2 linked regions of the Arabidopsis thaliana genome follow. The main gene of each other region encodes a partner of the protein of the gene in region 2 in a complex. Each region holds a gene or a part of one and is shown on either strand. Other genes may lie near its edges.

Region 1 (4,656 bases), on a different chromosome or scaffold from region 2:
ACTGGTTGAGATGCTCTGATACTTGAAGCCTTTTTGCGATACTCTCGGGTATGCCAATCTCGTTGAGCTTCAAGGACGGATCACCAACAACTACTGTCCGGAATGTATGATCACTTCTTTTACCGAGCAGCACGTCTTTCATGAACCTTAGACCGCAAAGTTTTGGTGTATCAGACTTCTTCTGGTACGGATTTGCGGAATCTTTACTCGAAGACACAGTTTCCGAAAAGAGCTGTGCAAAAAACAAGAAATACTACTAACCTTCACAGAACAGAAAGAAGAGTTTAAATCTATCAGGAACCACTAACTTACTCTGGAATATTGCATGCATTCCATCACACGAGAACTCAATTCAAGTGTGTTTCCCTCAAAGCCGACTAGTTTCTTGTAGATCCGAGTCCGTTCATCCTTCAAAAATGTGACAGAAACTCGAAAAGATAAGAGAAATACCATAGTATATGATAACAAATTATATAAACAAGCGTTTTTAGCTTACAAATATTAGCCGAGCTCCGTTGAACTGATGAACTATTTCGGTTACACGGTAACCATTTGGTGTAACAGGAAAAGATGTCAGACCAAGAGAGTTGAACATAGGGATATCCTTCTTGATGAGCCTCTGATCAATCCCTAATAACAGAGCATAAACCTGCAAAAAGGTGAAATTTTCAGAAAACTATATATAGTAAGAAGTCATGGAGATGGTACATTTCACTCTTCTATACCTGTGCATGCGTTATTATTCGCCTTGTTGGTTTCAAACAGCTCTCGTCGATATTAGAGTCTTGCGGCAAAAAACTCCAATAGTCAGGAGGCAATGTTAACACTCCCCGTTTCTTGAGTTTCATCAGACTCTCTTCGTTTACTTCAACAACGATTCCGGATCGCCTGAAGACTTCTTTAGTAGTTACCCTAAACTTCATTAGAGGATAACCGGTATTCAACTGATATATAACAACAACAAAAACCGAAAATTAGTGTTGGAACAAAGTTTTAAACTGAGAAAATTAGTTGCAATCATATATTCTTACAGTGCAGTATCTACATCTCTCAGGCTGGTCTTCGGTAATCTATATCAAGCAAAAATGACATTAGTATATGTAGTTCCAAAACACACAAACCAACAAAGGATTTGGAAAGACTAGTGAACCTGAAACTGCTTTTTTCGAATGTATTTACACCCCGGACAGATTTTGTTTAACAACGCAGCTACCTCCTTGAGGAAATACGGGTTTATTATCGAGTACGCGAAGTTTATAACCCCGAAATGCCCTAAAACAGAGAGAAAAGTAGCAAACTCAGGGAACTAATCATAAAATGAGCTAAAAGATTGGAACAATATTTGCCAAAACCAGATTCTTTATGATACCTTCGCAAACTTTTCGATCTTTGCTGCCACAGGTTCTGCAGACAGAATCCGGATTCGGTAATCCTAGCCGAGAATCAGTCACCTGATTCGGTGCTTCAACCTCTAGCACAGACATTTTATCCTATAATAAAGTACCATTACATTAAATATTTGCTCCATCTACTCATAAACAAATCAAGAAGAATAAATAAGGACAACACTTACTCGATCATTGTTGTTTGAAATGCTAAAACCTATCGAGGTTAGAGTTCCCACGGGAACCTGAAGCTCCTCACAATCGTCTTCCATGTTGAAGAGTTTCCTACAAGAAAAAAAACCATCAGTAAGGAAAATTTAGATACGTAAGTAAAAACATCAGTTTTTATAAGCAAGTTTTAGTGACCAATTCCAATGTGCAGAATATGAAACAAAACCAATATTTAGCATTTAGACAGACAAAACCAAAAAACTCGCTCTGACCAATACTAACCACTGAGAAACAGACAACTTCACAAACTATCTCTGTGAGTGGCCACTTAGAATCTAGCATATATCCAAAGAAAAGAGAGAACATGTTCAGGGAAGAAGATTCTAGCTCAAAAATATTTGACGAACACACAAAATAGTTCAAACTTTGAACACACATTATTGAAAATTAACACTTACTTCTGTAACATAAAACAGAGCTAAAACTCACGGATAAATCGTCGAAAAGATCAGTTTCTATCTGTACCCTCTATCATCAAATCTAATGTGCAGCAGAATATGAAACAAAAACCAATCTTTAGCATTTCATTGACCAGAACACAAAAACCAAAGCAAACTCTCTCTGATCAAAAAATTGACCAAAGAGAAACAGACACTTTTGTTAAGGGACAAAAGTGTTACCACAATCTTCCTCTGTGACTGGCCTATCAAAAACAAGTTATAGATTCGAAATTGAATTTACTAATAGAATCTAGCATGAACCCAAAAAAATAAGAGAATACATGTTCAGAAAAAGAAGAAAGAAAAAAAACTGCAGAACATACACACAAAAAGGTTCAATCTTTGAACATACACTATTCATGGATTAAAAAAAAAAAAATTCACTGACCAAAAAAAAAAAAGGACAAATTTTCCAAATGTTCTTCTAAAGGACTCACACAAACCCTTAGTGCAAAAACATTCGCCGCCTTAAGATGATCTCTAAACGAAAGAAATCGATTTCTCATAAGAACATGCATAAACCAAAGTACTTAACTTTTCACAATCATCCAAAGTAAACAAAGTTCATAGAAACAAAATCGGAGTTCAAAGACAACGATCGATCAAATTTAAACAAAAGAACCGTGATAAGGAATCAGACACAGTGATCAATCAAAAAAAAAAAGAACTCAAATTGTTTCAAAGAGATAAAAAGAAAATTACCGAAAAAGGTTTTAAAAAAAAAAACGAAAGAAAAACCAGAAGAGAATTGAGGAAGAACAACAATGTAGTTACTTACTCGTTTCGTCGAACAGAGAATCCTCACTATGTAATGATCCAATTGAAACAGTGCACAGACAAAAACTTCTGATCCTTAGCTCCGACGGAAGATGCCGGAGAAGAAGTTGAAGAAGAGACTCTAAAGAAAGAACAAAAAAAAAGAGAGGAAAAAAAAATCGAAATCGGAGGCTTTTGAGAAGCCGCCGTTTGTATTCCCAAAGGAAACGGGAAAAAGTGAGAAAGCAGAGAAAACGAAAAAAAAACTCTTCTCTAAGTCCAATGGGGACTTTGGAATGTGAGACACCAAAAAAAAAAAAAAAAGAAGAAGAAAGAGTGTAAATACCGAAACTACCCCTTGACCTGTACCTCTATTTACCTACTTTACGAGTACACCTTTTACCTTTTGGAAATCTTTTTACTTCCTCGGTTGTATTATTTTAATTACTTTATGATTTTCTGTTTCTGCGAATTTTACCTTATTTGTATAAACTCTGAAACTGGGAAGAAAAGAAAAAGTTGAAATATCCTTCCTTAAGTATATTATATTAGCTGTATTAGTTTTTTACTTTTGGCCTAATTTTAAAACTGACAAAAAGTTATTAGAATAATTAATACTTTTTATTAGTTTAATGTAATATTTAAATAAATAAAAATAAGTGTATAACTAAATTTTCATCTTAGCAAAAAAAAAAAATCCTAGTGGTTTTTATTTCTAGCTTGATTTTTGGTTCATAACTATAATATGAATAGCGGGAAAAAAAAATATAATTTGAACCAAAAACAAATTCCATTTCTTTTCTTATATGATTTTGCGATTTTTCTAAATACTAGTTATAATCTCTAAATAATCTAAAATTACATAATTATACGAATTTATTTGTGAAGTTTGTGTTAGTATCAATCAAAGTATGATATGTAAAATAAAATTTTGTTTTACGTATAGTTGAGGCTATAAATTTGTTATCTTTGATTCGAAACATTTATATTTCGTTAAAATATATTTTTGTTCGATAAAAAAATTATGTGTAATTAAAATATATTTTTTGTTTGAAAAACAATTACAATTAGTTAGCTGCTTAGACAATTATCATATAATTTTATAAGAGGCGAAATGTGATAAATAACTAAATTAATTGAGACAAAAATAGATTAAAATTTATAAGATCTAGAATCTTATTTGAGAGTATGTGAATGTCCATTAATAAATCAAGATATATAAGTGAAATCAGTTTTTCTTGTCGGCGACGTGAAATTAGATTCTTGTTTACGTGAAGTTCACGCTTTCGTTTGTAAAACAGTTACATAGTTAGTTTAGTGGTTATTTATTAAAACAGTTTAACATATAATTATTACTAAAATATACTCCTTCTATTTAAAATTAGTTGTCGTTTAAGGTTTTTTGTCGGCGGCGTGAAATTGAATTTTTGTTTACGTGAAGTTCACGCTTTCGTTTGTAAAACAGTTATATAGTTAGTTTAGTGGTTAGTTATTAAAATAGTTTTGTTTAAAATTATTTGTCGTTTAAGATTTTTTGCAGTGAAAATAAAAAAAAACAATTAAATTTTCTACTTTACCCTTGTTCAATATAGTTTCTAAAAAAATTATTGGTCAAGACATTAATACTCACATTTTTATTAAACATTTGCATTAAAAAACTAAAAACGATAATTATTGTGAGATTAAATTTAAGTGCTAAAATGATAATTAAATTAAAACAAAATGAGTATTTGTTTTGAAAAACATGTAGTAGAATAAACTAGACTTAAAAATGTCCCAGTAAATTTTCTTATTAACCTTATAAACTGTAAACATTTGGGGTAGTCTAGTTAATAAAACTATTT
Region 2 (3,492 bases):
TGAAGAAGAAACCGATAGGGAGAGTGGCGCCATTGATCACAAACATCATGTGGAGGAATCTACTAGCTCAAGCGTTTTACCAAATCTCTGTGCTCTTGGTGCTTCAGTTTAGAGGAAGATCGATTTTCAACGTGACTGAGAAAGTGAAGAACACTTTGATCTTCAATACATTTGTGCTTTGTCAGGTGTTCAACGAGTTTAACGCTAGGAGTTTGGAGAAGAAGAATGTGTTTAAAGGGTTACACAAGAACAGACTCTTCATTGGAATTATAGTTGTGACTGTGGTTTTGCAAGTTGTGATGGTTGAGTTTCTCAAGAGATTTGCTGATACAGAGAGGCTAAACTTGGGTCAATGGGGAGTTTGCATTGCCATCGCAGCTGCATCGTGGCCGATTGGATGGTTAGTGAAGTCTGTTCCGGTTCCAGAGAGACACTTCTTTAGCTACCTGAAATGGAAGAAGAGATCATGAAAGAGGCTCTTGAATTGATCTTACATTAGTATATACATTATGAAGCATTGATTTGTTTTTTCTTTTAGTATGTTTAACAGATTTGAATAAAGATTGATCATTTTCATTGAACAGCGTTTTTACATAACATGTATATATAGAGTGAAAATTAAGATTACAATCTTTTTAGAACGGACCAAGATTGTCTCCATCGATGCTAGCCAAAGCCATGAAGTCTTTCTCTGCCTCTCTCCACTCGGTATCTAACACGACGAAACGAACTCTGGCACCGATTTGAATCCGGGACATGTACTGATTCATGAAAAACGGGTTCTCGCCTGGAATGAACTCGTAACCAGGCATTTTCATGTGTGATAGGTAAATGATTTCATAAGGGCCAGATTTCAAAAAGACACCAGTCTTGTGAACCTTGTGCACCACACCATGAACAATCTCTCCTTTAAACATCTTGAAGCAGATTCCGTTAAAAACTACGGGAAACTGAATTTCGCCGGTCTGTTCCTTGATCTTACCCTCACCGATGTTCTCAAGAATTGTCGGTGTTATCAAGTATCCAAGATCTTTTGTTGCTTTCTCTTTAGAAAAGGCTTCGAGTAGACGAATGACAATAGCTCTCTGAAGCATAAGGCCAGTGTCCATATCTTCAGCTGGAATCGTAACATCCCATGGCAATTTCACTTTGATGAACATTTTCTTCAGCCTGAAACAGTGACATTTCAAAGAATCAGAAGTAGTCAATCACATTTTCACTAAAGATTATGCATTCTACAGAAACAAGCTAACCAATTTTACCAAAGTGATCAACTTGAAGTTTTCTTTTAGACATTTTAACAAACACTTGGCATACATGTCAACCATTGAAATGAATCTCAAACAATAAAGAAGAATAAAAAAGTTTCCGACTTTTCAATTAAGCATCAAGCCACCATTAATTTACTATAAGCTTAGCACCGTTTGCATTGTGAAATGTGATCATATCATCGTTCTTCACAAACCCTAGAGTGAATTTATCTGAGAAATTGGTTTGACAGATCAAAAGATTAAGTAGCTCTAACTTGAAATTACCAAACGACGAAATCTGAAGCTCTAATGGAACGAACAACTTCGGAAACAGACACCGATTGTAGCGTCGGAGAAGAAAAACATCAGTCGTGAAATGACTCAGGAGACGAAACTTCGGGTTTGGTTATTTACAAATTAATAGGCCCATTACTACAAGAGGCCTTTGAAGGCCCATTACAACAATTGGGTACGACTACTAGAATACATATATGAAGTCAAAAGTGAGTGATTAAATGGCGAAAAAAAAAAAAAAAAAAGTGAGTGATTAAATAGAAAAAGATGTAGTCAAAAGTCAAAAATACGTAAATCCTTATATGTAAAAACAATCGTTTCATTAATATGGTACAAAGTTTGAGGCCCAAATATTACAAGTTTCGTAAATTATCTTGCAAACGAAAAACAGTCTTTTTTTCTTCTGTATTTTATTTGGAAAAAGGTCAAGCCAGATTATACATAGGCTTCTCTCCCAATACAACAATGATTGTTGCTACAAGGCTTCACAACACAAACGTTACAATTTGAAACGAACAGTTTTGTCTTACACCGGAACCACTTCTGGTAGTCTACCATTACCCGCCGGAGTCAAGCTCTCATAGTAATCCACCAGAACTTTCCATCCACCTGGGCACATAAAACCGTCTGGCGGGTTTTCGTTGTTCTTTGCCAATGTGCGCATCTAGAATAATCGAAAAACATTTAGAGGTTTGTTTTATAAACAAACTATGAAGAATTTTAACAATGTAGGACTGGTATATTACCTTAGTGCCGGAGATGAACAAGAAATCTTGAGGCCTCGAGGGATCGAAGAAAGCCATCTTGCCTTGCGTCTTGTCATATGCAGCAACCTGCAGTTACACCAAGGAATTAGATCTCTACATTGTCAAACAAAAAGTGTGAATCTTTTCGAATTGTATATACCCTGAAAGGAAGGATGTTGAGTCGTTCGAGTCCTGGTGCCATGCTTAGTACTTTCTTTCCATGATCAGCATCGTAAAGATCACGTTTCTCTACTGGATGACCCATCCCAGCAGGATCACGACCCACAATGTAAAAGTTAGCACCAGCATTGATTCTAGCCTTTGCGTGCCACTGCACTTCGGTTGGACCAGCGTAATGCATAGGTGACGGGAATATCGAAACCACTGTAGTCTCCGGATCGAGAACACCATCCTCTAGAACCTGTTTTACATTCATAAACACATTTAGCATTTCAAGATACACACACTCACACTCAAGAGACACACAACAATCAATAACTTTTTTTACCTTCTCGTGTTGCTTCATCCTCCAATCTAAAGGAACATCATCAGCCTTTGTAAACCCACCTAACGGATGAAGCAAAAGAATAGGGTTTTTGTAACCCATCTCAAGAAGTCTCCTACGAGTATCAGTCATAAGAAGAGCATGACCATTATGAACAGGATTCCTCAGCTGGAAAGCAAACACCGCATCCGCATTACGCTTCTCCAACTCTTTACGTAACTCAGCAGGCGAAAGCCTGAAACGATCAAGCCCATCATTGTACTTCACTGGCTCAAGAACCTCAAGATCACCCCCAATGAGCCAGTTTCCAGCATTAGTTATCGCCTCGTCTACGTAAGGCAAACCTGGAGCCGTCGTACCCCATGTTCTAGCTATCCTTTCTTCCTTTGGATGCTTATAAATCTCAATACTGATCAAACATAAAAACAAACAGATTTCAGTAACCAATTACACATATAGCCAAATTCTAATCTCAAGATTAATCAGATCTAGTCTAAGTCTAATCGTGAATACATAGTTATTAATTTATCGAGTATTACTTTATCGAGATTATACTGTATTTAACTAATCTCAAAGAGAGATAAGTTCAAAATCAAATTCAAATCTCAGTTTTCGTCTTCTCCAACAATCTATGATCTGAATTTGAATCTGAGTATGTTGAAGAAGGACTTACTCGCTGAGGATAGCGACGGGGTTA

Evidence for each region. The genes of interacting proteins can lie anywhere in the genome.
Region 1: NRPD7 (region 2) and NRPD1A share a complex: the UniProt entries of both Arabidopsis thaliana proteins name them as parts of the RNA polymerase IV complex.

The regions. Positions count from the first base shown.
Region 1 is NC_003070.9:23,359,470-23,364,125, forward strand, and holds the start of NRPD1A (nuclear RNA polymerase D1A), read right to left. Parts: upstream 3,019-4,656; 5' UTR 2,968-3,018; exon of another isoform or gene 2,835-2,967; intron 2,724-2,834; 5' UTR 2,679-2,723; intron 1,671-2,678; 5' UTR 1,658-1,670; coding exon 1,574-1,657; intron 1,491-1,573; coding exon 1,370-1,490; intron 1,273-1,369; coding exon 1,151-1,272; intron 1,071-1,150; coding exon 1,032-1,070; intron 945-1,031; coding exon 726-944; intron 650-725; coding exon 497-649; intron 409-496; coding exon 313-408; intron 263-312; exon of another isoform or gene 233-262; coding exon 1-232. UniProt on the Arabidopsis thaliana protein: DNA-dependent RNA polymerase catalyzes the transcription of DNA into RNA using the four ribonucleoside triphosphates as substrates. Largest and catalytic component of RNA polymerase IV which mediates 24-nt short-interfering RNAs (siRNA) accumulation.
Region 2 is NC_003074.8:8,113,313-8,116,804, reverse strand, and holds NRPD7 (RNA polymerase Rpb7-like, N-terminal domain-containing protein), read right to left. Parts: upstream 1,741-3,492; 5' UTR 1,536-1,740; exon of another isoform or gene 1,526-1,535; intron 1,171-1,525; 5' UTR 1,161-1,170; coding exon 636-1,160; 3' UTR 552-635; downstream 1-551. Other genes in the region: AT3G22910 (ATPase E1-E2 type family protein / haloacid dehalogenase-like hydrolase family protein), read left to right, coding at 1-470; APS1 (ATP sulfurylase 1), read right to left, coding at 2,071-2,208, 2,291-2,377, 2,451-2,711, 2,799-3,204, 3,469-3,492. UniProt on the Arabidopsis thaliana protein: DNA-dependent RNA polymerase catalyzes the transcription of DNA into RNA using the four ribonucleoside triphosphates as substrates. Component of RNA polymerase IV which mediates 24-nt short-interfering RNAs (siRNA) accumulation.